Tamandua tetradactyla: one gene and its partners. The protein of the gene in region 1 interacts with the protein of each later gene in a pairwise test. Links are inferred from orthologs where the notes say so. Each region holds a gene or a part of one and is shown on either strand. Other genes may lie near its edges.

The links.
Region 2: the proteins of AMOT (region 1) and C2H1orf216 interact in binary tests that used the Homo sapiens proteins (3 or more experiments, as listed by UniProt). The two-hybrid records come from large-scale screens. The link is inferred for Tamandua tetradactyla from reciprocal best matches to the Homo sapiens genes AMOT and C1orf216.
Region 3: the proteins of AMOT (region 1) and SEPTIN1 interact in binary tests that used the Homo sapiens proteins (3 or more experiments, as listed by UniProt). The two-hybrid records come from large-scale screens. The link is inferred for Tamandua tetradactyla from reciprocal best matches to the Homo sapiens genes AMOT and SEPTIN1.
Region 4: the proteins of AMOT (region 1) and PTPA interact in binary tests that used the Homo sapiens proteins (3 or more experiments, as listed by UniProt). The two-hybrid records come from large-scale screens. The link is inferred for Tamandua tetradactyla from reciprocal best matches to the Homo sapiens genes AMOT and PTPA.

What each region holds. Positions count from the first base shown.
Region 1 is NC_135353.1:56,980,350-56,987,789, forward strand, and holds the start of AMOT (angiomotin), read left to right. Parts: upstream 1-4,433; 5' UTR 4,434-4,983; intron 4,984-7,440.
Region 2 is NC_135328.1:189,652,489-189,660,320, forward strand, and holds the start of C2H1orf216 (UPF0500 protein C1orf216 homolog), read left to right. Parts: upstream 1-4,819; 5' UTR 4,820-4,979; intron 4,980-5,013; exon of another isoform or gene 5,014-5,120; intron 5,121-7,225; 5' UTR 7,226-7,230; coding exon 7,231-7,832.
Region 3 is NC_135349.1:24,180,312-24,187,579, forward strand, and holds the start of SEPTIN1 (septin-1), read left to right. Parts: upstream 1-4,266; 5' UTR 4,267-4,281; coding exon 4,282-4,476; intron 4,477-4,628; coding exon 4,629-4,719; intron 4,720-4,825; coding exon 4,826-4,912; intron 4,913-5,173; coding exon 5,174-5,297; intron 5,298-5,584; coding exon 5,585-5,719; intron 5,720-5,814; coding exon 5,815-5,932; intron 5,933-6,516; coding exon 6,517-6,618; intron 6,619-6,726; coding exon 6,727-6,826; intron 6,827-7,066; coding exon 7,067-7,232; intron 7,233-7,268. UniProt on the Homo sapiens protein: Filament-forming cytoskeletal GTPase. May play a role in cytokinesis.
Region 4 is NC_135328.1:52,002,769-52,010,471, reverse strand, and holds the start of PTPA (serine/threonine-protein phosphatase 2A activator), read right to left. Parts: upstream 3,001-7,703; 5' UTR 2,956-3,000; coding exon of another isoform or gene 2,907-2,955; 5' UTR 2,698-2,906; coding exon 2,646-2,697; intron 1-2,645. Other genes in the region: CRAT (carnitine O-acetyltransferase), read left to right, coding at 5,475-5,501, 6,159-6,422. UniProt on the Homo sapiens protein: PPIases accelerate the folding of proteins. It catalyzes the cis-trans isomerization of proline imidic peptide bonds in oligopeptides. Acts as a regulatory subunit for serine/threonine-protein phosphatase 2A (PP2A).

The DNA of each region.
Region 1 (7,440 bases):
CTATGGCCAATTTACTTCCAAAATGTTGGAGCCTGCAAGTACCCCAGGAGTAACTTGGCTCCAAAATGCTGGAACAGGTCTTGGCCTTGGAGTACAGTTCTGGTGTTGTTTCCTGAATTTCCACATTGCTGGTTTCCACACATGGATCATGCTTCAAACTTCCTGTGTCTGGACCAAGTGTGTGTATGGTGTGTATGTATGTGTGTGTGTGTTTATGTATTGGGAAAGAATGGAAGAGGGGAGGAAAGGTATTCAAAAGAAAAGCATTTAGCTGCATTCTTACATTATATATGTGTCTCTGTTCTTTTCCTGTTCAAATGAAACTGCAATTTTCGGATCTGCTGGATTTTGCATTTGCAGAGCAGGTGTCATAAATAAACAGGCGACTTTTTCAATGTGTGTCTAACATATATGAACAGCATTTTCGTGGGGGCGGGGGGGGGTGTTATGTTAAGACATACATCCTGAGAATTTTCGCTAATGAATGTACTTGCCTTTGTTTTTTTTTTTTCTTTTTTTTTCAGATGCATCTAAATGATTTAGTTGTTCACCAGGCAATTAGAGAAAAATTGCTCATTCTACACTACACTCCCAGTAGGCTTGGTAGGTGGGGGAGAGTGTCAATCAGCTAAATCTTATGATTTTGCCTTAAAGAAGAACGTAGCCAGAGGTTGGGACTATAAGCTGTGTTCTCCTTCCTACTTTTCCTGTACATTGGGCAAAAATATTGCCAACAAAGTGCATATGTTGATTTTTATTGCACTTTAAAGACAAGTTGCTTTTTAAGGGGGAAAAAGCCAAATAGGGCACGTAGTTTCAGGTGGAGACTCTTGATTTATAGCTTAAAAGATCTTCCTTTTTTCCATATCAATATATGGAGATTTTAATGTGCAACACTTAGGAAACCCAGTATCTTTACACAGGTGCTTCAAAGTCAGTGGCTAATTCTCCTGGTATTCCCCAGCGGGTTTTTCCATATTTTATAGTCAGGATTTGAAGTCAGGGGATGCCTTGGGGATTAGTCAAATGTGTGTGGCATGGTTTGCTATATAAACTCACTCCCTGAAACTAGTTTTCTCTCCCTTCTCTCAACTTCCACAGCTTTTACTGTCAATACCATTCATTTAGCACTTAGCATACGCCTGTTAGTTATCTTTTCATGTATATATCCTTGAAGGCAGGAGCCAAGTCTCATACTTCTTTGTTTTTCCAGTCTTGTCCATAATAGCAGCTCAATCAATGTTTGTTGATGTTGGCCTCCCACCTCCGCCCCCCAACCCCCACTTTAAGCAGTGCAAGCAATGCATGGCTTTAAATTCAAACAGTTTAAACAAACTGAAGGGTTTTCAGGGTAAAAACAAAGAGAAAGTCCTGTGTGGCAAGACAGAAGGAACACCTAAGATGCTTGAAAGACCTGGGTAAATCAGAGGTACCAATAAACCTGCTTTTTGCCACAGGCTAAGAGGTGACTCATACATGGCCTGATTCCCCATTAAGCTCAGAGCTCTGCTAATTATATTCCATCAAAAAATTAAAAGTTGTAGAAGAACAGTAATGCCCATGGCAGGATTGGAGGAGGGGGTGTGGAAGTAGTTAGGTGTTTGAGGGGTTCCAACCTTATGAAGGCCCTGGTAGCTGTGGAGAAGACAGATTGGACAATCTTTTGAGGACAATGTCAAGACTCTTGCCAGGCATATTAAAACACAGCTGCCAGATCCATGCTACCAAGAATTTTTTTTCTGGCATCATCTGCAATGACAAAAGATGGGAAAGACCTAAATTACAACTCAACAGGGGGCTGATTAAAGTAATTTTGGTATATCTATGCAATGGATTACTGAACTAATCATGAAAAATAATTAGATAGAAGTAATTGTCCTAATATGAAAAGATATTTAAGATACATACTTGAGTAAAGAAGGGCAAGGTGTGTTCACATATGTACCCATGTTGCATGGATATGCAAATAATATATTTTGAAGATTACATACCGTTATAGAGTGTAAGGGGACTCTGGAACTGGAGTAATAAAGAGGCAACTTTTCACCGTACTTCTTTCAGTTTGTTTGATTTTAATTTTACCATGTACATATTTTACCTTCTGCATTTTAACAGCAATGTTAATTTTAACAAGTAGCATATTACAATTCTGATCAGTGGTAGTTCTCCAGCATATACGCACTCTTCATAGCTCTCCTGCCCATGCCTCCAAATAACAAGGCTGGAATAATATTCCCTTGATTCATAAAACCAGGTTTCTCCATGTCTTTAATGCACAAAAATTCATCTTCCCCATGAAAAATCACCTAAATAACCTCGCCTCATATGTAAATTGAAGCAATCATACCCATACTCTTATTTCTGAATCTTTTGGCAGCCCCTAGCAGAGTACTCTGTATACCGAGGCCACTCAATGCTTTTGATGATGTGCTACCTGCCCATAACTTTTCCCGCAACCAGAATTATATTGAGATTCTGTTCACAGTGAGATAATGCTTCCTTTAAACACACTTCCTATTGCATGGCCTTGATCTATGTCTCCTAAGAAGACTCCTATTAGCCAAACTTGAATTGGATGTAACTCTTTCATTTGCATGAGTTCATTATACTAGCTCTCCATTGTCAAAGCCTTTACTTTTAGACTTGCTTCCTACTTGTTACATTTTCTAGCAAATATAGATCTGTACAGAATGTGGTTTCCATGGTAAATGTTCTCTCATATTTGTTTTCTCAAGTTCGCTTCAGAGATACACAGCATGATTTCCTCTTTCAGTACGAGCACCACATTAGATTTAGGTCGTGGCGCCACTGCAGAACTGTTTAAAAAAGAAATCTCACCCACACTTGTTAGAAAAAGGGAAACTTATTATTCTAATTGCAGGGAGCCAACCCATACCCACCTCCAGAACTTTAGGAAGAGTCGTTTTTTAAAACAAAGCCACAAATCCTACATACCTTGGACATAAATGCTTTAAAAACATGAGCAGAATATTTGTTTTCCAAACACGTGAGACTCTGCCACATACCTTTGTGGAGTGCTTGGTAGTCTACAGATTTTTCACACTCATTTCATTTTATTTTCATACCAATACCATTAAGTTAATAGAGCATATTTTATAGACTTTATTTACAAGATGGGAAAATTAAGACTCAGAGAAGCTAAGCGCCTTAAGAAAAGTCGTACAACTAGCTAATAATCGCCGGAGACCGAAATGATTATTACGTTGGTTCCAAAACCCATATTCCTCTGTCACCCTTATGCTGTTCTTTTATGCTTTATTTTCCCAGCTGTAAAATGGGAGACTTTCAAGTGTCCCAGCCTGCTATTCTCAATTGCCCGTGTTTTTAAGCAATACCATCGTTTTTGCAGCCAGAAAATGTGAACATATTGATACTTCGCGTACTTTTTCCTCCTTCTCGCCTAATGAATTGAGGGAGGAAAGTTATCTATTCCGAGGAATGAACAGTGAGTGCCACAGAGGTGTACCCGAATCAGTCGACACACTGTCGCACTCTTACCAGACTGAGAAATCAAGCGTCTCATCTTTCTCTTCCCAGCAGTAGCTGGGGGAGATTAGCGAGCAAGACAATAGGTTCTTGTCTAGTTTTATTAATTTTGAGGATGGGTGGGGCAAAAGAATTCGATTGACGGCTCCAGTAACCAATAGGAGGCGTACCTTAGGCCAGGACTCCCCAACTGCAAACTGCAAAAGAATCGTCGGGTGGGATTTACTCTTCCGGGACGCTCCGCCCAGGCCAGCCTTCACAGCCCGCCCAAGAGGCGGAGGCTCCACGGCGCCCCACCTACCCCACCCCGGCTGCCTGCGCAGCTTGCCATGGAGAGCCAGGCAGAGACGCGAATGGGAGGAGGAAGGGGAAGGCTAAGAGAAACAGAGGAAGAAAGGAGGGTGTCTCATAGAGCTGTGACCTGGGTGGGGGACTGTGGTAATAGGAAGCAAGAGGGGAAGGAAATCGGAGGAGCGCTGCGCCTTCCTTTATTATTTTAAGCAGGCTCTGATAGAAGTCGCTTTTCAGCATTTCTATTTGTTTTTCTTCCTCCCGCTGTGGGGCGGGGAGCTGCACTGGCTCTCCCACGCGACTCTGCTCCGCTGTTACCGTAGATTACTGTAGTCTTTACAGAACCCCTTCCTTCCTCCCAGCCACTCCTTGTGTAGACTTTTGGGCTACCGGAACCGAGTCGTGCTATGTTAGTAAGAGGGCGAGAACGAGGGCACCGGCTTTTGCCGGAGGTTCTGGACACCGCCGTTCAATTGTTTCAAACTTCCCCGCCCCCTGCCCCGCCTCCCTTCTGCGCCCCCTCCCCCGCCCCGAGGTCCAGGCAGACTCCCGCCCTTCTTTCCCCGCCCTCTACTCCGCCTCCCTCCTAAGTCTACCCCCACCCTCCGCTCCTGGGCGGTCCTAGCCGCTTACTGCAAGAAGAAAAGCCACCCATTCGTCCCACTCCTCTACCTCCCATCCTTTGCCCGGGAGCTGCCTTCATAGCAGTCACGCCCCTTCCTTCCGAAGAGCTTTCTGGCTGCCCAAGCTGGTAGACCCCCTGAATTATTCCTCCATCCCCGCTCTCTTTCGTCTCCTCTTCTAGTTCTACCCCCACCCCCACTTCGAGTCTCTGTCGCCTCCGACCATCCGCTGCTCCACCCTCCGGCCCGGTATCCTGTCTGTCCATTGCCACCAAGGAACGCACGGACGGAGTGACGAGAAGGGGAGCAGCCAGGAGTTGGGGATTCCTCCCCCTGCCCATCCTTGGCCGTCGGCCAGGGCCAAAGCCATCTATCTGAGTGAGCTGAGAGCCGACACCTTGTCTTCGTTGCCTTCGGGGGTAGGAGACGTGTGGTTACTTTTCACGGGGAGCTGGGGCAGGAATTCATGGTGGCATGAACTTGGTCCTGCCCTCGGCGTGAGTAAGTCTGTCTAGATGCGTGTGGAGATGCCCGTTCGTTCTACTTTTCTTTGCAGTTGTCGGTGAGTTTTCCGGAATGTGCTACAAGTTAAATCACTTCAAGAGTGTGCGTTCCTTTTCGGGCCCTCCTTTGGTGAGGAGATGCTAGTGGGTACCACTACTTAATGGTAGTTTTAACCCCGTTGCCTCCTGGGGTCCTTGTAGGTCTCTAGGTAATTAATCATGCGAGAAACTAAAGACAGGAGATCTCCATTTAGCCCAGCACTATTGTCCGCACTTAAATCAATTGATGCAGGTTTCCTAAGTGCTTAGGGTAGGGTTTGGGGCTCTTACACTCCCCTCTTCCAGGGTGCCATAAATTTTGAAGTTTTAAAGTCTGGGAGTAATCTACCACGATACACTTTGGTGTACATGTGCATTTGCGTAGGGGGTGGGGTGTCAGAGGTTGCTACTTATCTAGTTTGTAAGGTCCAAAGATGTTAGTAACTAGTTTTGCGGGACCGTGCAGATATCTGTAGGGTCCCAAACCCGAGCCACTCTGCGTTGGTGCTTCAATAGTAATACGGATTTCGTCAATAGGTGAAAATAAAGAGTAGGAAAAGTGGGAGGGAAAGCGGCAGTCTTTGTAGATTGTGAGCAGTTCTTCGTAAATTATCACTAATGATATAATGATAATTTGCAGCAAGGGAGTAGATGCAATTAAATGTGTGAGGAAAGGGAAAGTTAGTGAGAAAAAGCATTTCCAATCTCTATTATATTATGAATCTAAAAAAATAATTTTCCAACAACCCAGGGGATTTCTTTCCCCTCCCACCCCACTTTCTCCAAGAAGGATGGAAGTTGGGGAGCAACTTTTATGAATTTAACCCTTTTCTAACATCAGAGAGGAAGATGATTAGTGACCATAATCTTCAATGGTGGAGAGCTAAGGGTATTTAAGTCTCCTTGAGCTAGGCTTTGTGAAAAGTTCTTTCTCATGCCAGTCTTTGTGAAACCTTCTCAGTTAGACCTCTCAGCACCCTCATTTAGTAACTAAGCATAGTTTGAAATACCATTTTAGACATGAGGTACAGCTCCCCCAATCTCCCATCTATTACCAGTTTGGCAAGGGTAGCAAACTTATAAGAATGGTTGTGTTCAAAGACCTATTATGAGCGATCCCTGATCCATTACTTATTTGGATACAAATTACTTACGCTTTTAAATAATTTCTTTGCTTGATTTTAATGGTGGGAAGGAAAGCAGGGAAGGAAAGAAGAAACATTACAAGGCAACAATTTTAAAGGATATCATGTTTCAGATCAGCTGGGAGGGAAGAGCTGGCTTGACCAAACTACATTTTATAACTGGCCTGGGACATTTTAATAGCCAGGTGGCTGTAGAGTAGTTGCATCTATTTACAGATGATAACTCAGATTCCAGCTATTCTGTATGGGTTTATCCGGTGTCATTTACAGACATTTTCTGGCAATGCATCAGGCTTCATTTTAAGATGCCTCTTTCTTTGGAGAAGTTCGTGGCTCTCTTTGGAAAAGTTTGTGGCTCTGTAAAATTGAAAATACTTTTCCTAACTTCATAGTTTAGATATGAAGTAAACTTCTGACCACAGTGTGTATGTAATAGCTTTCATGCAAAAATTGTGGGTCTGTTTACCTATTTAAAAGACTTGAGAAAAGCGAATTTTTTCTTCATATTAATGCTGATTTGGATTTGGAAACTAAAATCTCATTTCTGGTTTATAAAGTAGGGTATATTAGACTAATACATAATCAAAGAGTTTTGTGGAATTGCTTTTCTGGAGTTGAGTAAAGAATAAATCAGACTCCTTCTAGAATGCTTTGAGAAAAGTCTAATCAGAAGGCAGAGGGATGGAAGCTATGACCTTGAGGTCCCACTGAGTGCCAGAATTCTAAGTGGGTACATCTGCTTCTGGGGCTCTCACAAGAACCCTCTCCCAGGGCCTGTGCCTTCTTTAAAAGGGTGTCTTTGTAATTAAGCAACCCTTCTACCCCACCTCCCCCCCTTTCTTCCTTTGATCCAGCTTTATAAGCCTTTTTTTCCTATTTGGAGACAAGAGGAGTTTCTCACACTCTCCTGCTTCCCCTCTTGAGTTTTTTTCCTATCCCCCCCCCCCCCCGCACACACAAAATGTCCCCTGAAGTTCTCAGGATGATTGGAAGTTATTTTGTTTTGTTTTGGAAATGGGTGCCAATGAGGAAGAGTAAAGGATATATTCCTTCTTGGGAGAAGCTTGTGGCCAGGTAGCTTCCTCCATGGAGACTGAAGTTTTGGAATGTATGAGAACAGCCTATTCTTAGGGACTGTCTGGAAGAAATTGTCCTTTGCACCATTAAGCCTAGCTTAAACCCACTGAAAGGGGTAGAAAAAGGTGTATGTGATTGTGTCTGAGCCTTTTTGGATGGTAAATGGAAGAAAGTTCTCAAATCTATTATTATATCACCTCTTTTCCCCATGGACCCAGTGAATTTGGAGATCCGTTTGACAAGTTAATTAGCTTG
Region 2 (7,832 bases), on another chromosome or scaffold:
TCCCATTTCTGAGGGTCTGTGTACACCCAAGGCACTGAGGCTTGTGATCTCTCCCACGGAGCCTGGAGCCCAAGGCGTGATTTAACCCTTTCTTTTAACACACCTGCAAGGAGTATCTGGTGTGTGAGGTGGACACTGTGGATACTGAAGGCATCACCCCATCCCCCTTCCATGAAAACCTGTTGGCCCAGCTGCTGTGAGTGCTGTCTTCAGACTGACAGCCTGCAGTGGTCAGCTCCTTCAAGGATTGCCTCAGCAGCAGAGAGCCCCTGGCCCAAGGTCCTGTCCCTTTCCAGCACAGTTCACGTCCAGTACCTGCAGGAGTATAAAGGCCTGATCATCTTGACTCTTCTTGGGACAACTCTGAAGGGCCCTTCCAGCTTCAGGGCTCCTTGTGGGGTGGGCTGTGGCTGTCACTGCCTACATTGTAGCTCCACTTCTTCATTTACCCATTCCTTCCTTCCCCTACCTTGCACAGATGTTGATCTCAAGAACAGTCCTAAGAAACGTCCTGCACGCCAAAATGTCTCAGCGGAACCCAGCCTGCAAGTGGGCTAGTCCTGGCAGCAAGGTTTTAGGACAGGAAACGACCAAGTCACCAAGTTGTACGCTTAGTTTTTCTCCAGAGGTGTTGTTGCTGACTCTTTATGCCCACCAGAGGGCAGCAGCAGCCTAGTAACCTGCCCGCAGAGGCTCAGAGGAGTGGGCTTTGAGCCTTTGCCCTACGACACGCCCCTCCCCACCAAGAGCTTTAGGTAGGAGCCATCCCTTGGTGTGTCTACTTTCCTGTCTAAGGGAAGAAAACTTTCTAAAACTGTCTAGACCTTGGTTTTTCCAGGATCCCCCCCTCCCTGCTCCCCAGCCGTGAAAGGCCAATCAGTCTTCTTACTACAACTCCATCCCCCTCCCCAGCTGGGCAACCTCCTCGCCCAACATCTCCCACCTCTCAAGATTACCACCCACAATAGATTTGTTTTCTGTGTGACAAGGTAATTATAAGCTTGGTGCCAGGAGGCCCAGGGGCCAGTCTGAGGATGGTCACTTCAATTTGGCTCTCCCTGTTCCACTAACATTATTGATTTTTAGTTTTATTTATTATTTTTGTGTGTGCGATCCAGCCCCAGTGAGATGAGGTATGGAGGTGGGAGGACAAGAGCAAATTTATTCTTGTCACAATTTAGCTTCTTGAAAACACCACCCACCTGAGATTGTTTATCTGCTAGTCTTAATATCTTTGTTTGCTTGACTTCATTCTATCCCCTAGTCCCCAAAGTTCTCCCAAAGATTCTTCTGGAGATTGGAAACAAAATGTAGGTAAAGAGACGGTCTGGGAAGAGGAGTGGGGACAGGAGGACAAGGACAGTACCTTATGTTAGCAGCCATTAGCATCCAGCAGGCCTCTAGTGAATTTCCATTACCTGTCGATTATTTCTAACTCCCTGCTTCTTTCACAGCCCTTCCTTCTTGAGGCAGTCCTCAAACCTGCTATGCTATTTGTCCTTTTTTTTTTCTTTTTTCTTTTTCTGCATCAGTTTCTCAGGGTGTGAAATGGGTTTGAACAAAAATCTGAGCAGAAAGCTTTCAAAGTTTGAGATTGGGTGCAGCCAATTCAAAGAGCCGTGACTGTCTGAATTTCAGCTACTAAAGGCCTCCTATAATGCACTCTACTTCCTTGGAGAAGAGTAAGGGCAAGCTTTACAAATGGGAGGGGGCGCTTTGAACAGCGGTGAGTGCCTGGAGAATCAGCTGAGGCTGAGGGCCATTTGTGGGGCCGCGTTCCCCCAGCCCATCTTCTCTATGCATGCCAGGAGAATGAATAAATCATTGTTCAGGGGCGGGATGCAGCTGCCGGGCTCCTCCTCTCGGCACATGCCCCGACTGCAGCTCCTCCATTGAAGACTGCTAGAGCAGAGCTGTTTATACACCCAGCTCCCCAAATCCTATTGGGGCCTCCCCCTCCGCACGAGCCACCGGCTCCAAGCCCATTCAGCCTGGCCCTTTGTGTTGAGGGTTAAGTGGTTACATGTGGGGGGCACCCAGAAAGGACCTGTCAAGCCCTGAAAGACTGTCCTGATGCTGTGCCCTCCTACTGATGATGAATGGGGTGGGTGGAGGAGAGGTGGGCGGCCGGAGGGCATGAGGATTATGGAGCCCATGGAGGCAGCTGCTAGGAAGGGGGTGGAACAGGCATCCCCTTCTCTCATTTCTCCTTTCGTTCAGCTCCTCCACCCAGCCCTCTCCCTCTGTTATAGGCTCTGGAATGCCATCTACCTCAGGGCCTTGGAAGAGTGGGTCAAGAGGGCATTTACCATGTTTTGCTGTGGGAGAAAGTCTACACTCTCATTCTTCCAGCAAATCCAAACACCCTGTTTCTCCTTTATCCCTTAGGAGGGGAGAATTTATCTCCTAGGTTCATCTAATGCAATGTATTTGAAATTGCCATTTTTAAAGCTCTGAGGAGCTTTAAAAGCTTCCTCAGAGGCCCCTCAGCAGCCATTTAGGATGGAGAGGTTCAGGGGAAGAGAGGAAATCTCAAATTGGGTGTATTGCAATGATTTTCCTTGGGTGGGTGGGGAGGGGAAAGATTCCAAGCCTTCAAAAGAAGAAAGTTTTAAAACAAAGGTGTGGCCCTTCCTGGCGATGTGGGACAGAAATCCTAGAATGAGCTGAGACTCAGCATCAAGGGCTTGAGAAGACCTTCTAGACCAAAAGGGGGAAGAGTGAAATGAGACAAAATGTCAATGGCTGAGAGAGTCCAAACAGAGTGGAGAGGTTATCCTGGAGGTTATTTGTACGCTTTAAGTAGATATCACCTTGTTAGTCAAGATGTAACGGAGAGGCCGGAGGGAACTGCCCGAAAATGTAGAGCTGTGTTCCAGTAGCCATGTTTCTTGATGATGATTGTATAATGATATAGCTTTCACAATGTGACTGTGTGATTGTGAAAACCTTGTGTCTGATGCTCCTTTTATCTACCTTGTCAACAGATGAGTAGAACATATGGAATAAAAATAAATAATAGGGGGAACAAATGTTAAAATAAATTTACTTTGAAATGCTAGTGATCAATGAAAGGGAGGGGTAAGGGTATGGTATGTATAAATATTTTTTCTGTTTTCGTTTTATTTCTTTTTCTGAATAGATGTAAATGTTCCAAGAAATGATCATGATGATGAATATGCAACTATGTGATGATATTGTGAATTACTGATTATGTATGTAGAATGGAATGATCAAAATAGGAATGTTTGCATTTGGTGTTTTTTTGGTCTTTAAAAAAATAAAATAAAAAATACATATAAGAAGAAAAAAAGAAAAAAAAACCCTCTGTTTTGAGGTACCTCCTCCTCATTTAGCAACTGAGAAAAAAAAACCCAGCCATATCGGGTGTGGGGGAATGGATGTGATCACACTGTCATTCCTAGGTGGACTAAGTGCACTTGACCTTTAAGAGGCAGTGGGGAAATGGAGGAAAGAAACAACTAGGTCACCAGCTTCCTAGGCCTTTTTTTCCTGAGATGAGCAAGCCAAATGACTTTCCTTCTAATCTGCCTTAAGGGTTCTCTTGCATATCAAAGGGACCCCTGGGCTGTGTCTGATCTTGGGGAGCCTGAGAAACAACAAGTACAACTGTAAGTATTTAACCATTTCTGGGCATATTCTTTTTTATTTAATCCTAAAGGGTTAAAATGACTTGCCTAAGTTCCCAAAACCATGTGAGAAAGCTAACAGATAATATGAGCTCGGGAAAAGAGAAGAAACCAGTTAGCAATGTAGCTTGTACTCCAGGACTTGGTTCTGATGTGGCACTTTGAGTACATCCTCAGTTATCTTCCTGCAGCCCACAGGATGAAACCCAAATTCCCTGCACAACTGGTCCAGTTTACCCTTCAGCGTTGTTTCCTACCTCCATTTTCCCCACACCAGCCTCCTGTTCCCTAAATACACTAAATATGCATCCTCTCACCTTCTCCCCTTTCTGTAGTGAGCAGACTCATTCTTCCAGGCCTGCCTCAAATAACACCTCTGTGTGAAGCCTTTCTTTACCCTCCTTTGCACTCATTGCATTTGCCTCCTAGCTCGGTGGCAGGACCCATCACATCGCACACCCCACTTTTCTGAGTCTGTAACCCTTTCCAAGCTGAAAGCTCCCCAAGGCCACAACCAGGTCTGATTCTGCTCTAAATTACCGTGGCAATAACTGGCACAAAGTAAGCTCTCTAAACCGTGGGCTGAATGCGAATGCGTGGGTGGGAAGTGGCATGACCTTTGAGGTGAAAACGCTTCGATCCTACCCACCTCTTTCTTCGTAATGAAGAACCCTTATATGCCTATCCTATTTCCTGGAGTGGAAATTCCTCTCATCTTCCCTTGTCTCCTAGCCTGACACCCCACTTCGGGGGCCGGACCTTATCCCCAGCCCTTTCCCAAGGTGGATTTTTCCTCTCTCCTCTTAAAACGTAACTGGAGAGGTAGGTAGCCCGCAGAACGCGCCGAGGGCCCTGAGGCTGTTGCCTTAAGGATTTTCCCTGCAGCGCGAAGCCACTGAACTGTTCCAAACCGCAGGGGTGGTGACAGGATCAGACTTTCATTTTGAAAATATCACTGTGTCCGCAGTGAGGCGAAGCGGTGCAGTGAAAGCCCTTAGGAGATAAACCAGACCTGGGCGGTCGGGGAAAGACAGCCGAAGGGTGGGGGGCTGCGGTTCCGGCCCACTGCGCAGAGGCGCCGCTCAGCGGAAAGCCGAACCGGCCCACGTGGACCCGGCCGCCCCGCCCCGCCGCGCTGACGCCGCCCCACTCCGCAGTCTGGGCCTGGGGCTGGCCGCGCCGCCCCGCAACTCGCGCCCCGCGCCCCTCGCCCTAGCCCACGTGGACGCCCAGGCCGAAAGACACCCCCACCCCTCGGCCCGAGTGGGTTCCCGTAGGTGGCCGGGGTGGAACCAGAACCCGCCGCGCCGGGGCGGGCTCCTCTCGGCTGTGAGTTGGGGCCCAGAGGGGGAGGGATTGCGGCCCAGCCGCGGGAGAGGGGGAGTTGAAGCCTCCGCCCAGCTGCCTCTTCTGTAGAGGTTAGGGAACGGTGGTCTCTATCCTGTGTGTTGGCGGGAGTGTCCCTCTCTGGTAAGGCCAAGCAGGAAGGGAGGCCCCCTGGGCGCCCCCATCCTTACAGAGTCCCCACCCCCATCCCGGGCAGATTGCGGATTAGTTCAGGGAGAGGCCTGATCCTGGGGTATCTGGGCTCCAATTTTGCCATCTCTGATAAAACGTGATCCTTAGCGCCACCCTCACTCATCCTAGCCTGCTTTATGGCCCAAACCTAGGAAAAATAAAAATTTTGCACAAGGAAAGATTTCCAGGCACCTTCCAGCGAGCCTTTCGTAAAGGGATGTATATGTGGTGGGTGGGGGTGGGGGATGGTGAGGAGGGGATGCAGGTTACAAAGGGATCATTACTCAGGACTTGTCCTGGCTACTGGATGTGGGGAGGGACCCTGTCCACCTCTAGTACCTGTTGTGCATATAGTATCCCGCACTCTTAGTGATAATCGTCAGTCTCTCTAATCCCAGTAGTAAGTGATCAGAAGAAATCGCTTGTCAATTCAAACCCTAATTTGGGTAAAAATCAGTTATTGGAAAAGGAAAAGTGATGTGGCATGGCCACTCTCCAGGGCCTGTGGATAGAGCAAACCAGAGGCAGGGACACAAGATGTAGTCATGTTCCAGGGGAACTGGAAGGGAAGTGGGTGAGCTCAGAGGAGAAGTTTGTCAATGGGGGGATTGGGGGGGGCACCCTGGAGCAGAGGTGGGAACTGAAGCCAGCTCTTCTAGTCCTGGGTAGTCAGCAGTAGACTCCTGCCACCATCATCCTGGGCAGGGAACTCCCAGGGGAGTCCCTGCTCCCCTATTCATTCACTCAGCAAGCATGGATTGACCAATTTGCTAAGTGCTAGACTCTGTGCTGGGTCCTGGGGATGTGATGGAGAACATCAAGGAGCAAGCAGCTCCTTGGGGATCCAGATTTACAAGGTACCATTACAAGATAGTTGAAAAAACAGTTACATAAACATTTATTGATTTTCAACTATGTGCCAGCAACAGGAAGCAAACATGGATAGTACAGTGTGTACCCAGGGCAGTGGGAACCCAGAAGAAGGCATAATTAACTGTGGGGGTGGATGAGTGGGAGGGTGGTATCAGGGGAGTCTTCAGAGAGGTGAAGATAATTGGAATTGAGTTTTGAAGTAGGTGAAGGAATGTGCTGGGTGGAGAAGGAGAAAGCTTAGAGGGAAGAGGAGAATATGGGCATTGTAGGCCAAGCAAATTGCTTGAAAAAAATATGGTGTGTTCTGAAATCTCTGGGTAGTTTGTTGGGGGAGGGCCAGAGTGGCAAGAGGCATGTCTGGAGAGGTGAGCAGAAGGTGGATCAAGCAGGGTCTTCTTGGCCATGTAGAGAGGTTTAGCAAGAGTTTAGTGAGGGCGCAGCTGCAGTGATCATTCAAATTTATATGTTTAACTGGAGGCAGAGAGATCAGTGAAAAGTCTGTGTCAGTAATCCTAGGAAGAAATGGCCTGAACCAAATGAAATTGTGAGGAGATACATACACATACTCACACACACACACACACACACACACACACACACACACACGAAGGTTTTTAAAGAGGAAGAATCATGAGAATTGTGTGGCCAATTCAATGGGGGCAGGACGGAGAGTGAGGGGTCCAGGTTGCTCCAGGATTCTGACTGGGGTGACTGAATGGGTAGTGGAGCCATTTTGCTGAGGACACTGAAAAGAGGGCTGGTTTGGATGAGTAGAATTTGGAGAGCCAAATTCTAGGTTAAGGGGTGTCTTTGACAGTTAGATAGCAGCTGTAACTGGACTGGAGACATATGGATGGTTTGAAGCTACAGCAGAGGATGAGGTCATCTGGGGAGAATGCAGTTAGAAGAGAAGAAAACCTGCTTTGGAAGGCTGAGGAAAACCTGCTTTAAAAGGCTGCCCATTTAAAGGATGGGCAGAGAAGAACCCTGTACTGGAGACTGAGAAGGAAGATTCAGAGAGGGAGGAGAAAAACCATGAAGTGGGGCTATTATCAGGGTCAAAGGAGAGGGACTAAGAGCAGCCAGCCTCATGTTTGCCACTTTGTCTTGGCAGCTGCAGTAGCATGACTTCAGTCATCCCACCCCGTCTTGCTGTGACTCATTCCTCTGCTTCCCCCTTACAGACCAGATGTTTGCCATTCAACCAGGGCTAGCTGAGGGGGGCCAGCTCCTGGGGGGCCCACCTCCTGGGGTATGTCAGCCTGACTTCCAACCAGACAGCAACTCCAACTTCGTGGCAAATGTCAGAGATGCCAATGAAAACTGGCATGGGATGCCAGGCAAAGTGGAACCCATCCTGATGGGGAGTTCCCCTGAGTCACCCTCTGACAACAAGGCCTTCCAGGACCTCGAGGAGGAGATCCGTAGTCCTCCAGAAGGGGCAGAGATCCCCAGGGCTGAGCTTGAGAAGATAGTTGGTGGCAGCACAGTCTGTTCCCCACTGGAGGACAACGGCTATGCCAGCAGCTCCTTGAGCATTGACAGCCCTAGCAGCAGCCCTGAGCCAGTCTGTGGGACTCCTCGAGGCCCTGGCCCTCCAGATCCTCTTCTGCCTTCAGTGGCCCATGCAGTGCAGCAGCTTCAGGCCCAGGAGCGCTACAAAGAGCAGGAGAAGGAAAAGCACCATGTGCATTTGGTGATGTACCGTCGCCTGGCCTTGCTCCAATGGATCCGGAGCCTGCAGCATCAACTGGTTGACCAGCAGGCCCGTCTGCAGGAGAGCTTTGATAC
Region 3 (7,268 bases), on another chromosome or scaffold:
CTAAGCCAACAGTTTGGGATAAAACGAGGAAATACAAGTTTATCCATGGGTTGCTGGCAGTTTAAAGGGGCAACACTCAAATAATTAAAATAGAGAACTGGAAGTACTTGACGCAGTTATAGGGACCCTTTCAAGAGGGTATAGGAGAGCAGGAAGTGTTATTTCCCTGGGAATTAGTGTGCATGAATGTTAGATGCTAACAGAAATAGGGACCACAAGTCAATCAACACATACTGATCACCAACCAATAGCTAGACACTGCTAGACCCTGGAAATACAAAGGAACTCCTCAGGGTGCTCTCAGCCCAGTGAGATAGGGAGATATGCAGTCGAAGTAACAGCTTGTATATTGGTCGTATGGACAAGATACGAAAGTGTGGTGCAGAGAGAGGTACCTTCTGTAGAGTTTGGTGGCCTGGTACTCTTTAAGGCCTTTCACATAGCTTAATTCCTGGCCTTGTCACTTAGTACTGTTTGACCTTAATGAAGTTACTTAAGCCTCTGTTTCCTGAACTATAAAATGAGGCTAATTCCTAATTAGAATGGTTGTGGATTAATATGTATGAAACTCTTAGCAAAAAAGTATCAGCTGCAACTATTTTGGCTGAGTAACCAAGGAAGGAGAAGGTAGCATTTGAACTGGGCCTTTCAGGATGGTTAAAATTTCAGCACAGTCCAGAGCCTGGCTGGAGTGAGGGCTGAATGCAGAACTCCAGGTAGAGGGAATGAAATAAACAGGGGTCCACACTTTAACTGAAAACCTACTAAGGCTAGAAGCTTGAGTTTTTTATATGATCAATACCTGTCCTCAGAAAGAAAAATAGAGAATAGGCCTGTTTTAAGGTGCCATGAATGAATGTAATAGCAAAGTAATGGAAGCTAAAGATCGAATTGTAACTTTGTTCATTTGCTCCACAAACCTTTCCTGAGCATCTACCCTGTGCCAAGCACTTGTTGCTGAGCAAAAGAGGTAAGAGGGTATCAATTGGCAAGGAGCCAGCCCCCCGGTGGAGGGGCCTTTCCCACAGGCAGCCAGGCCATGCATCATACTTAACTCATTTTCAGAGCCAATTCTTACTTTAAGAAGACAACACTTGGAGTGAGTAGGCCTGAAAACCTGTCCTCTGGTCTAAAGACAGAAGCTACTCTAGATATGCCTGGTGGGGACAAAGGGACCTATGAAGACATCTGTGACACATGATGATGAGATGAAAAAGAACTAAACCAGATACATAGCTTATGGGAAGGGAAGCATCCACCCCATACTGCTCCATATGAAGCTGAACGTGGAACTTTCCTTTCTCCAAGGAAACAGACCCCGAGTCTCAACACAGGAATGATTGGGTTTAATTTGCTGGCATTAATAAACATGTAAATGGAGGGTGGGCCATGGTGGCTCAGTGGCAGAGTCCTGCCTGCCATGCCAGAGACCCGGGTTCGATTCCAGTGCCTGCCCATGCAAAAGAAAAAACAGTAGTTAAACATGTAAATGGAATACTACATCATTGTTAATCCATACAGCTCCACACTTAACAAAACACAGTGACCAGACCAGCCAAGAACGTTTTCTGCAGGGCAACTTGTTAATATTCAAATGCCTTAAATATGTGACCTCCTTTGACTCAGTAATTCCCCTTACAGAAATTAAATCCAAATAAATTTTTGGATAAGTGTACTAAGGTAGTGCCACAAACACGTTCCTTCCAGCTCAGCATTGACCATCATGGGAAAAAATGAGAACCCAACCTAAATACTAAACATGTGTAAAGATAATAATGTAGCATGTGTATTCATTATTGTAGAGAGATGTGCAGAACATATTAAATAATAAAAGCAGGTTTCCAAACAAAGTTACAGTGTGATCCTATTTTTCTCGATTTAAATGTGTACATATATATAATAGATATAGGAAGAATCCAGAAGGATAAACACCAAAATGGGGTTATATCAAGATAACAATATTAGATTTTTTTTCCTGATTCAGCTCCATTTCTAATTTTTCGATGATGACTATGTGTTAGCAATAAATGAATATACATGTTATTTTCTTAAAGGCTGTTGAAATAACTCAGAGAAGAGTTTATCAGTGTCTGAATCCAGGACAGAACCAAGGAGGTAGAGGGTATTGAGAGAAGGGGACCATCTTTTCCTGATTTAACAGGCAGGCCTTGGAAACCACTCGGCTATGCTTGTGGAGAGAGGGGGAGGGAAGAGCCCAGGGTTTTAGTTAAGACCATAGATCTGTTCAGCCTGATGGGAAATGCAGGAGTAAAGGCTGCCCTGCAGTGGGGAGGGGTACAAATAACTCCTCCCTTTGGCTTAACTCCAAGTACACTTTTTATTCCTGACACTTTTAGCAGACAGGCTGTGTGTGACACTTCCTTGTGGCTGTCTCCATTTCCCCAGAGAGCCACGATCCTCACAGATTCACTCCATCTAGGTCAGCAGCAACTAATCCAGAAGGACAGTCAGGAGATTTGAGCAGTTGGCTGTATATACCCTCCTCAGTTCATGTAATATAGTAATTAACATTTTTGCATGAGCTCAACTTAGATGCCAAGCATTGTACTTAATGTACAGAGCTTTGTGTGTATTAGCCCACACATTCCCCATCATGACCCTGCAAGGAAGGAATTATTAGTGGTGCCATTTAACAGATGAAGAAACCGAGTCAACAGAGAGGTTAACTTAAGATGCCTAGGGCACACAGCTCCTAATTACTATCGATCTCTAGAATCACAGGATCTTTGCCCAACCTGTGTGTTGGGTGTGGCAGGAGTTTTTACTTCCATGATCACACAGAAAGTAAGGCCCAGAGGGGTGACTTTCCCAAGTTTCCATGGGAAATGCAGTTGAAGTATGGATAAAAAATATATGTGGCCATATGGATGGATGTTAGTTAACAAACAGAATGATACACATTTCCATGTGTAAATATGGGCTGTTTATGTACCTTAAACTGTACCCTCAAAACACATTACACATTTTTTAAGCCACATACAAACTAAAAAAAGCACATTAAACACATTAAAGTGGTTACCTTGGGATGGGGGTAGGGGAGGCATGTGCTATGGGGCTAAAAGGGAAATAATAAATAAAACCAAAAGGAAAAGGAAAGAAAATGGGGTTGGAGAGGGAACCAGGATCGGATCAAGCAGGGTCTTGTAGTCCGTGGGGAAGAGACTAACTTTAAAGGCTCAGTGAAGTTAATTTACATGTCCAAGTTCACCCAGCTCACGCTAAAGCCAAGGTTTGTATATATAACTAATTAACGCCAAAGCCCATGTACGCAGCCACTCTCCATGAGTTCTGATAACAAAGCTGAGATGTGTGTTTTCCATTTTACTGTGAGGAAACTAGGGTTCAGAGAGACCAAATGGCTTGCCCTAGGTCACACAGTGAGTGGTTATAGCTAGGATATGGGAAGTTCTGACTCCAAAGTAAGGCTCCTAATACAAGTTCTGCAGCCCCCCCACCCTTTGGCCCCAGCTAACTTCATTCATTCCTCCTTTCATGCACTCATTCATCTAGGATATTATTTACTGATACCTTCTTTGGGGCGAGTCCTGGGTGAGACATGGGGGATATGGAAATTTGGAAGACCTGGCCCCTGTCGTCAGAGAGCTCAGCTGGGAGCAGGAGAGGAGACAATCAGGTAAGCAAAGACAGGCCTAGGGGGAGTCTTTGAAGGGTGCTGGGGAGTCCAGAGGAGGGGGGATAATCAGCCTGGCATGGCTGTGGAAGATTTCAAAGAGGAGGAATCAACCGTCGAAGGATGAACAGGGGTTCATTCAGTGCAGCAGGAAACACTCAGTGTGGGCAGAACAAGGATTTGGGGGAGAGTGAGAGATGAGACCAGATGGAGGAAGCTTAGATTGCCAGGTCAGAACTCAGACTTGATTGTAAGGTCATAGAGAGCTCCCTCAGGAGGTAGAGCAGGGGAATGCCCAGGCCAGGATTCTGAAGGAAGTTCTCTCTGGTGGTGGTGTTGAAAGACCTGGATTCCCTTTAAGAATCTATTGCATGAGTTGGCAAGGAAAATTGATGGCTCCTCCCATCCCAAATCTGTTACCTAGGACTCCTGGTCTACTCAGACCTTGGGAGCTTTTTTTTTTTTTTTTTTTTTTTTTTTGGTAACCATCTTGTCAAAGCTTTCATCTCCCCTGGAGAGAAAGCAGTCTGCTTCCTTCCTTTTTTGTCTACCCCCCATCTCCCACCAGGGTGATAGGGCCATAGTGGGGCTTGCAATAAAAGTGTGCAGAGAAGCTGATTCTAGGGGTCATGGACAAAGGGATCCAGGAGATAGGGACCCCAGGTATCCTTGGTCTTGGCTTTCCCCACCTCTTTGGGCCTGGGCGAGTTTCAGTATCTCAGCTTTCTGCACTGCCCGCCCCCTTGTTTGCCGCCCTCAATTTCCTGCCCCACCAGAGGAAGTGGGAAGCGACAGCAGGTGCAGCAACAGCTAGCAAGGCCATGGTGAGTCCTGATGCCCCTGGCCCCCTACACCCATGGTTCCGAGGCCCGGGTCACCCCACAGTAGGCTGATCTGTCCTAGCCCCTGAGCATAAGTGATACCGGGAGCCCTGCCTGCTACTCCCAATAGCCTCACATTGTACTGCCCCCACCAGGACAAGGAGTATGTGGGTTTCGCCGCCCTTCCCAACCAGCTGCACCGCAAGTCCGTCAAGAAGGGGTTTGACTTCACGCTTATGGTGGCAGGTCTGGGACTTAGGAAATTGGTGGGGGGTGGGGGTGGGGGTGGGGGGAGGTTCTAGAGACCCTGGCTGTCCCCTCACCTGAGCAGTTGGGCCTGTCCTGTCCACAGGGGAGTCAGGCTTGGGGAAATCCACTCTCATCAACAGCCTATTTCTCACCAACCTCTATGAGGATCGGCAGCTGCCAGCTGCCAGCGGTAAGGCCCCCCCGCCACTCTGTCCTCTCCAGGCACTGCCCTTGGCCCTCCTCCTGTGTCCCCAAGCTGTCCTCTTTTCTTTGCCATCTGGGTTTCCCAGGGCTTTCTGGATCTGGATGACTCAAGCAGCTCACTGCTTTCCTCTGGGACTCGGTTTCCTCCCCTGAAAAATGAGTGGGGGCGGACAGTGATGCGGAGAAAGGCCATTAGTCCTGTCTCAGACCCCTACCAGGCTCCTGGACCTCTTCCGTGTTCCCACAGATCGCTTGACACAGACACTGACCATCGAGCGCCGGGGTGTGGAGATTGAGGAGGGGGGTATCAAGGTGAAGCTGACCTTGGTGGACACACCTGGCTTTGGGGACTCAGTCGACTGCTCAGATTGGTGAGGAGGAGGGGAGGGGCAGGAGCTGAGCCCCTCAGTGGCCCGCTCAGTTACAGGGCTGGTCTGCTCTACCCAAGAGATAGTGCCTGTTTCCGGCAGCCACCTGGCTCAAAGTGTGTGCTGTGGCTAGTAGGTGCTTCTCCGCGTCTCACCTGCGCCCCTGCCACCTTCCCCTCATGCCTTTGGTTGAAGCCAAAGAAATGATCTGCCACTCCCACAGTCCTGGCTAGCCTTGCCCCTGCCCCGCCCTGTGACCTCTGACCCCATGCCCTCTTCCCACACCCCAGCTGGCTGCCCGTGGTGCGCTTCATTGAGGAGCAATTTGAGCAGTACCTTAGGGATGAGAGCGGCTTGAACCGGAAAAACATCCAGGATTCCCGGGTCCACTGCTGCCTCTACTTCATCTCACCGTTCGGTCGGGGGTGTGGAGGACACCTTGGGAGATGGGGCATTTGCAGAGGGGGTGGGCGGGTCTCCACACCCTTGGGCTGATTCCTCCCCAACCCCCCGGGTGCAGGCTCCGGCCCCTAGATGTGGCTTTCCTCCGGGCTGTGCACGAGAAGGTCAACATCATCCCAGTCATTGGCAAAGCAGATGCCCTGATGCCTAAGGAAGCCCAGGCCCTCAAGCAGAAGGTGTGATGGTGACCTCTGATCTGTGACCCTAGGTGAAGGCAAAGGTCACACCCAAACCTGATCTCAGCTATGACTTTGTTCATCTTGGCCTTTTTGGTGCATGGCGTGTCAGGCTAAACGGTGGGGAAAACTGAGGGATGCTTTGTCTCTGGAGGCTCAGAAAAGGATGGATATGCAGCTCCTGGGAGAAGGCCTGTCCAAGGGCAGGGGCACACCACCATGACCCCTGACCTACCCTGGCCCCGAGATGCTGATGACCACCCCACTCCTCAGTGTCTTCAGAGCTCTTACCCACTGTTTATGTTTGTCCTTCTCTCCTGGTGTCTTAGGGGTATGCCCTGTCTTAGAATCTTTCCAGGTCTCAGTCTTCACTATTTGTGTCTCAGCCCCTCATCGTCTCTGAAGTTTTGTTTTTGGTCATCCTGTGTGTCCATCGCTAGCCGTCTCTCTTTCATGTCTTTTGGTCTGCCTCTGACCACCCAGACTCCCTGTCTGTCATATCGCTGGCCATATTTTGTCTGTCTCTCATGCTCTGTATCTGACTCTCTGTGTCTCACTGTCTCTGCATCCCTGTCTCCTCCAAGATCCGGGACCAGCTGAAGGAGGAGGAGATCAACATCTACCAGTTCCCCGACTGTGACTCCGATGAGGATGAAGACTTCAAGAGGCAGGATGCCGAGATGAAGGTGCTAGAGGCAGAGGGGGCGGATGTGGAAGTGGAGGCTGAGAGGTCCCCCTCCACCCCACCCCCTTGTCTCAGGAGCCAATGGTGACCCCTGACCTCTGACCTTTAGGGAAGCATCCCCTTCGCAGTGGTCGGTTCATGCGAAGTGGTGAGGGATGGGGGGACCCGGCCTGTGAGGGGACGCCGCTACTCCTGGGGTACCGTGGAGGGTGAGTAAGGCTCGCCCCTGTTCTCAGGCTAGTAGGGAGCCCAGGCTGCCACCAAGTCAGCTGCACCCACCATGCAAAGCTGGAGGTGGGCTCTGGCCCCAGGGGTCCTAGGAATCAGAAGTGGGGATCCTGGGACTCAGGCAGTACCCACCCAGGGCGGCAGCAGGACTCCCGGAAGACTGGCCCTTGCTGGTGGAGCTGGACCCGAAGCACCCTGACGCTGGCTGGTCCGCCCCCCAGTGGAAAACCCACATCACTGCGATTTCCTAAACCTGAGACGGATGCTGGTGCAGACACACCTGCAGGACCTGAAGGAGGTGACGCACGATCTGCTCTACGAGGGCTACCGGGCCCGCTGTCTGCAGAGCCTGGCCCGTCCTGGGGCGCGCGATCGTTCCAGCCGCAGGTGAGAGAGCCGGAGCAGACGCTCTAGAGGTGTCCA
Region 4 (7,703 bases), on another chromosome or scaffold:
TGGGGAACTGCTTTCTAAAATCTGAAAAACTCTGAATTTCAAAGCATATCTGGCCCCAAGGGTTTTGGTTAGTGGGTTGTGGACCTAAATCAGGGATTCCTTAGATTAGGAATTTTCCTCCAAAAATGTAAACTCTTCAGGAAGAGTAAGGACTGCCAGTCATTCACAAAGTAGTAAATAGATGTCCCACTGCCTTACTCCTAAACTTAGCTAATATCAGCTGCATGGAGAAAAGAGGATAGTGACCTAAAAGGTTCTGAAACATGTGCCATTTGGGGGAAGAGAGCCTGGCCAGAGAAAAGAAAAGCACCACAAGACCTAGAGACCTAAGGGAAAAGAAAGGGAGTAAAAAATAAGAGCACAGCAAACCTCTGCCTAATTTAAGATTCAAACCAGGGCCCAAAAATGAGAACAGAAACTCTTCCTCTTCTCACGTGTCCTACAAGCTCTGTTTCAGAACCCAGGATTGAGGAGCCTGCTATTAGCAAATTGCTACTTTAAACAACATGCTAAATAAAAAATTTTGTAGGTCAGGCTGGTAATCTAACCACATTGTTTTTATGGGAAAACGTATTTCACATCTCAATCAACTTGTAAATAATCTTTGTAAATACACCTCTTTTCTAAGTTTGAAAGCACTATTCCCCAGCAAGACAACACCTTTCCTGAAATTACTCCACACGGAGAAAAACCTCCAAGCCAGATCAGCCCCTATTCCCAGGAGAAAGCAACCTTGCAGGAATCATTGCTACAAAATACTGATGCAACACACACAAGTCACCAGAACACATAATCCCAAATCAAAGAAACAAGTTTTCAAACACAGGACTGTGATAAATGAGATCAGACCCACAATCTCTCTAGCTCAAATTCTGTTTCTGAGAGGCACATTTAGGTCCCCTTTGACCCCACAGTATAAGACAGCAACTTCCAGAGTTTTAGAGATATTCCTTAAAAATCACAAACAGTATAAGGTATCTTCATCTAACATTTGGGAAATGGTCTACAAGATTAACCTGTACCACGTTTGAAAAGGGTAACGGCAGCCAACATTTGTTGACTACCCACTATATGCCTGGGTTTGCCCACATCATCTTATTGCACACAAACTGCCACTCTATGAAGAAGGTATAGTCACTCTAACTTAAGAGAAAAGAAAACTGATGCTCACAGAGGCCATGACTTGTCAGCCTGTCTGTGTGACTCTGAAGTTCTCTTCACCATTACACTATCTACTTTTTTCCACTTGTTCCAAAACATGCTGTTTCCCAACTTCAAAGAAGGACCACCTCCAGAGTCCTCGACCTTTCCAGCCCTAGACAACCCCCGTGAGCTTTCATCTCCTTCAGCGCACAGTTCTCTCCCTACCCTATCCTCCTCCATGCCTCTTTAGAGACTCATTAATCTCACTGATAATTTTGGTTGTCTTCTATTTCCTAATATCTTTACCAGAATTTCTCAGGGTAGAAGCACAAAAGTTTGCATAAAAGGAAATAAATTCTAGTTTTGAATACCCTAACGGACCATACTTGGCTCTTTGTTAATCTATTTGCGGTGGGGGAAAATATCTCTTCTTCTAATCTTTAAAATTTCTCCCTTCTGAGACCCTCCCAAGGATTAGAAAATGTGAGACAGGGTAAAAGGATTATTAGAATGCTTTCAAAACATTGGTTGTGAGATATATTGTTAAATGAGTGCAGATTTTCTGTTTGAAAAAGTTGGAGTAATGGACATTAGTGATAGCACACTACTGCGAATAGAATTAATACAATTGAATTGTACACTTGAAAGTGGTTAAAAGGGAAATTTTGAGTTGTATATTTGTTACTACAATAAAAAGTAAAGAAACAACAAAAAGCATTAGCTGTGTTTGGCCTAATCTATTTCCTTCTCCATCAGAAGTTTAAAAATTATCTGCAGTCAGTCCTTCTTTAGTTCAAGGGGATCAGCAAATAGTCTTCCCCTTCTTCAGAGCCTCCACCCTGGATTTCCAATCATTTGAGATGAACTAAAAAAAGGCCACAGTGTAAATAAAAGTTACAGGCAATGATGCCAAGGAGACTCCATCTCCTTGCACAACCAGCTTTAAATTAATGGTTTAGATACCAAGGGCAGTTTCTCTCAATAAATTCTCAGCTATTGAAACTCCAGAGTCTGCCCTGCAAGACGCGGAAGTGGCTGGTTAAGGGGGGGCCAGGCAAGCCTACCAAGCACCCCCCCCCCCCAGGAGCCAGGGTCTAATAAAGAAGACATCCCCCAGAATCACCCCTACCCCCCATCCCTGGCAGCTTTGCCACCACGTCAAGGGCTCGGCACGCAGGGCCCAGATGTGAAAAAGGCCTCCCCTTCTAGTCACGGCGCTGCCCACCGAGCTCTCGGGCAGCCCGGGCTTCCTAAGTCCTGTGATGCGCCCCCCAAACACCACCCGACTCCTCCCTTCGCAGCCTCGGGTTCTTGGCCTCTTTCCCATGGTTCTCCCACCACCGCGCTCTCCGGGTTCCTCAACTCTTGTCCCTTCCTCCTCGGGGCCCATCAGCTTTGCCCATCGAACTCTCACAACTCCAGACTTTCCCCATCCTGAGCCCCCCACACCACACCCCTTCCCCGCCCTCACGCCTGACATCGCCCCCGCGCCCCCAGCCCACCTGAGCCAGGCTGAGTCCTACCTGGCGGCGGTTGCCGCTCACCCTCAGCCATCTTCCTCCCGCCAAGAGCTAGTCCGGACGCCTCCAGTCTCCTCTCACCCTTCCCTGCACCCACCCTTCCTATCCCCGACTCCACCCCAGACTCAGAGCTTTCTGAAGAGAAATGAGCACCAGTCAGCTATAACCGAAAACCGAGAATTAAAGTCACCCCAGCGGAGACAACCGCCATGTTGGTGCGGGGCACCCAGGGAGCATGCCCACCAACGGCCGGCTTGAGGGTATCGAGCTTATTGGGGAGAGCTGCAGCCATGTTGGTGCGGGGCACCTGCGGCGCATGCGCAGCAACGGCTAGCTCGCCAACCTACCAGCTAACCGACCGCCGGGTAATAGGGAGGGGGCGGAGGGGGAGTGCGCTGTGGCAGCCATACTTTTGCGGGGCCGTCGCGTTTAATTGGTGCGGCAGACATGTTTTTGTGGGGCAGCACCCCACCTGTCATCTTTGTGCGTGGCTCCCCACCTGTCATCTTTGCGCGTGACACTGACCCTATCTGAGGAACGTTAGAGGACATTCCCGTCAGCATGGTTAGTGTTTTCTTGCCACTGTAAGAGTAACGCTCAAGGATACCAAACGGATTGGGAGAAGCGCACGCAGCTGCCTCCAACAGCTTAGTCTAGAAAAGCGCAGACGCTATTTGGAGGTGGGGGAGAGCTGGACAGTACCCTCATCTTCAGCCTTATTCCTGGGTCCCACGGCTTCTCGGGGACTCCCAACCCCTAACCGTCCCCCTTTTCCCCGCCCCTGGGGCTGGGCCGGGTCGCGAGCTGTGGCCCCGCACTTGAGCTCGCGGCTAGCCGCCCTAGGTCCACGGCCTGCCTGAGGCCCCGCCCCGTGAGTCTTCCCTCCCTTGGGCCGCCTGCCTGCCCGCCCGCCCGCCCGACCCGGTGGATGGGCGCAGGGCGGCCTCTCCTGGCTGGCGGCGGTGACTCGGCGACCTTGGTCCAGCGGCCGCAGCTGGGCCCTAGCGGTCGCGGACTTTGCCCAGCGTGAGGTCGGAGCGGACTGTTTGTCCGCCTACGGGCAGCAACGATGTTGGCTTTCGCTGCCAGGACCATGGTGAGTGTGGCCGGGATCTCAGGCTGGCGGGCCCTGGATGGGACAGGGGGGCCGGGCAGGCTTCTTAGTTGCGCCGGAATGGGGAAATGTGCCGCGGAAGCCAGAAGGTGTAGAGCAGCCAATATCCCGCCCAGCCTCTCTAGTGGAGTGGGGTCGGCATGTGGGCTTCCCCTGTTTGGCAGAGAAGACTGAGGTACAAGGGCAGGAGTGGTATCGAACCCACATCCTGTAACTCTAAATTCCCACGACCCGGAAACGACAGTAGGACCCTGGCTTTCGCCAGACCTCCGATCCTTAGACCTGAAGTCAAGTGGGGAGAGAGGCTAGAAGTGTCAAGCCGGGCACACACACTCATACTTAATTCTCAGACTCACAACTCCCATCCACATGCTCAGGCCTACTGTCTCTGCCCAGGGCAGAGCCACTTCTCCAACCTTCTTGGTCAGCCTTCTTGGGTTTTCAAATGGTCCTTGGGGAATGTATGTGACCAGAGAAATTCGTGGGGAGGCATCAAGCTACACTGCTGAGGAAGTCCTCAGAACTGTCCCAAGGTGGCAGGTGGCAGTCCCATGCCCCTCCCCCATTCTCTCCCACCTGTCCATATCTATTCCCCAATCATCCCCAGAGGGCTACCTGGCGCAAGTGGTGCCGCTTACCTGATTTGGCTTCCTTTCTGTTCTGGTCCAGGCATCTCTGCTCGTATCTCTGCCTGTATATTTAAACAGATACCACCAGCCCCAGAGAGCTTAGGGAACCTGTCTGCTGGCTGAAAGGCTAAGATTTAGGGGTTCTTTGGGGCCTCCCAAGACCCTGAAGTTCCTCTTCATCCTTGCTATTGCCACCTGGACTGTACCCCTATTGCAAGACAGCTTGCTGGTCATCCTCCAGGACCACACAGCTGACCTGATCATTTTCTGCTAAGGAAATGATCCTAACTGAGGCAAGGAAGGCCTTGGTCAGAGTTCCCTGGGTCTGGTTACTAAAATCTAGTCCAATTCCAAAACCAGCATCCTTTTGATTTATATTTAATGCCAAAAAGTCCTCCACTCTTCTTCCACAGCTACATGAGCTGTGGCTGAAGAAAAGCAAGGCTCTGATAGAGGGATGGCCCAGAAGGACCCTTAGAGTCCTAGAGGGAAATGGGAGTTGGGCATGGTTCTTCGCAACCTCTGTTCCATCCATGACCACCCAGGGCTGCTCCCTTGCATCATCCCCAATTTCGGGGCTAATTTTAGGGCTGTGGTGTAACCTCAGCAGCCACATAGTTTCTGCCCTCTAGCCAAGTTTTCCCTCATCAAACAGACCTACGCAGATTCCAACAGGTGGATTTTTTTTTTAATGCTTTTGGCCTGCCTCCCTGGTACTGAGCCCATCCAGAGAAGAAACAAGAAAAATTTCCAGGTTTCCTCCTCCAGCTATTCCCATTCTCCTACTTCTGGGAGCTTAGGAGGATGGAACAGCTTCTGGAGGTCCAGCAGTTTCAACTCCCTGCCAATACCACAACCCCCATGCCACCACTGCCACCATAGCTACCTCATCTGCCACATCTGCCTCCTGCCCCTCCCTCCCACCCCTGAATCTTGGCTCTTGTCTTCTCTTTCCAGCCCAGGCAGGTGGCTGCCTCTTGCTAGGTTCTGCTCACCCACTCGATAGCACAGTTAGGCTTAGAGATCCGGCCAAGGCAGACAGACAGGGCTCAGAACCTCAGTCCTGCCATGGAGGACGGGCAGCAGGGAAAGAAGGTATGGAACTTAGCCTCTGCTGTTTGCCTGCACACTGCTGCAAGCAGCCTCCAACCCTTTTGTCTCTCTTTCTACTCACTTCTAAAGTCTGCTGTATACCCTCTTTCTCTCTGCCACTTCTCACTCTCCATGCCATGCTGCTCAGCTCTTTCTTGCCCTGACATTGTCCCCATACTTCCCTTCCTCCTGTGCCCAAGCAGGAAAAGACCTGAGGTTCTGTGGCTCTCTCACTTTCTCTTCTTCCCTCCTATTTCTCAATCTGGGAAGGGTGGGAGAAGAGGAGGGCGGGGCATTCGGGTGGGAGCAGTCACCTCACTGCTGGCTGGTTCATCATGTGAGCGTGAAAAAGGTGGGGCCCTGTGCATCAAGGCCAGTGGGAGGTCTCCCTTACCACTGGTACCCCTGAGTTGGTTCCCCCGAGCTCTGCCGAGATCGATGGCCATACCCTACTCTCCCTGACCCCTTTCTTCATCCAGGCCCCTGAAGTGGGGACACCCATAGCCTGAGGGCTGGGAGGCCAGGGTGGCACAGCACCGCCCAAGAGGCCGTCTCTGACCCAGATGGACACATAAATGCCCAGGATTATGGGTTTAGGATTGCCAGGGCCTCCTTGCTAGCCCCAGCAGGAGAATGAGTAGGTTATTCTGCTGCCTGCAGGTGAAGCCCCTGGGCTTGCTTAAGCCCACCTCCTTGACGAAGGTTTCCGGCCGCTTCAAGGCTCACCAGGATGCACTGCCCCGACTGCCTGTACCCCCACTCCAGCAAACCCTGGACCATTACCTCAAGGCGCTGCAACCCATCGTGAGCGAAGAGGAATGGGCCCAAACCAAGCAGCTGGTGGATGAGTTTCGGACGGCGGGAGGTGTCGGGGACCGCCTACAGAAGGGGTTAGAGCGCAGGGCCAGAAAGACAGAGAATTGGGTAAGTGAGACCCTTCCCACCCCACCTTTCATGGGGATAGGTGATTGAGTGCTATCTCGGAGGCTCTGGATCCTTCTAAGCATCCCTCACTGTGGTGTGTTGACCACACATGGCTAAATTTTGAATACTAGGTTGCTTTGGTGTATTTGTCCACAGAAATTCTTTTTTTTTTTTTAACGTTTTTTTATTGTGAAATATATACAAAAAAGCAATAAATTTCAACGTGCATTTTAACAAGTAGTTATGGAACAGATTTCACGGTTTGGTATGGGTTACAGTCCCGCAATTTCAGGTTTTTCCTTGTAGTGCCTCCAAGACCCTGGAGACTGACAGAAATGTCAATATATTGATTCAGCAGTCATACTCATTTGTTAAATTCTATCTTCTCCCACAGAGTTTCTTGAACACTTACTCTGTGCCTGGCCCTAGGTAGGATGCTGGGTGAGCAGGAAGGACACAGTCACTGGCTGCTGCTTCAAACTTACATTCAAGTGTTGGGGGGAGAGAGAGGTGATAAACAGATAGCATATGATAAACAGATGGGGTACTTACAGTCAGCCAAGGTCTACAGAAATAAAAAAGGATAATGGGAAAGAGCATGGGGGGTGAGGAATGGCAGCTTTTTATCTTGAGTGGACAGGGAGGGTGGGGAGTAGTGGCATTGGTTCTGATACCTGAGAGTCTGAGACAGGGAATAGCACAGGCAAGGGGGAAACAGCCTGGCATGTTCCGGGACCAGAGTGAGGGTTGGTGGGGCTGGAGCGGAGTGTGTGGGCCGGGGAGGCCAAGGTATAAGGTATGAGAATTTGTGCCACAACAGGCTGGGGAACTGCCTGAAGGCTTAAAGTGGGGAATGCGCAGCTGGTTACACAGGTGTGTTCAACCTGTGAAAATGTATCTATACTTATGCTGCATGTGCTTCTGTTTGCATCTTATACTGAAACATCAGATTCAAAATGAATCACTCAGGTATTGGGAGTAAAGCGAGAGGAGTTGCTGAAGGCCTGTGGGAAGACAGGCACATCCCCCGGAGGGAGATCCTGGCAGTGTGGACCAAGGGCTTTGGCAGGGAAAGGTTAGAAAGCCATTAGATCTGGGATGGATCCTGGAGGCAGCAACAACAGCACTTGCTGTTGGGATGAGAGGTCCTGACCTAGAGCAACTATGGTAGGGACGGTGGGGAAGGATTTGCTGAATTGGGGATGGCTGAGGGAGAAGCAAAATTGTGGAAAGAATCAGAGTTGGGTTTTGGCCCTGTGAAGTATGAGGTGAGATGCCTGT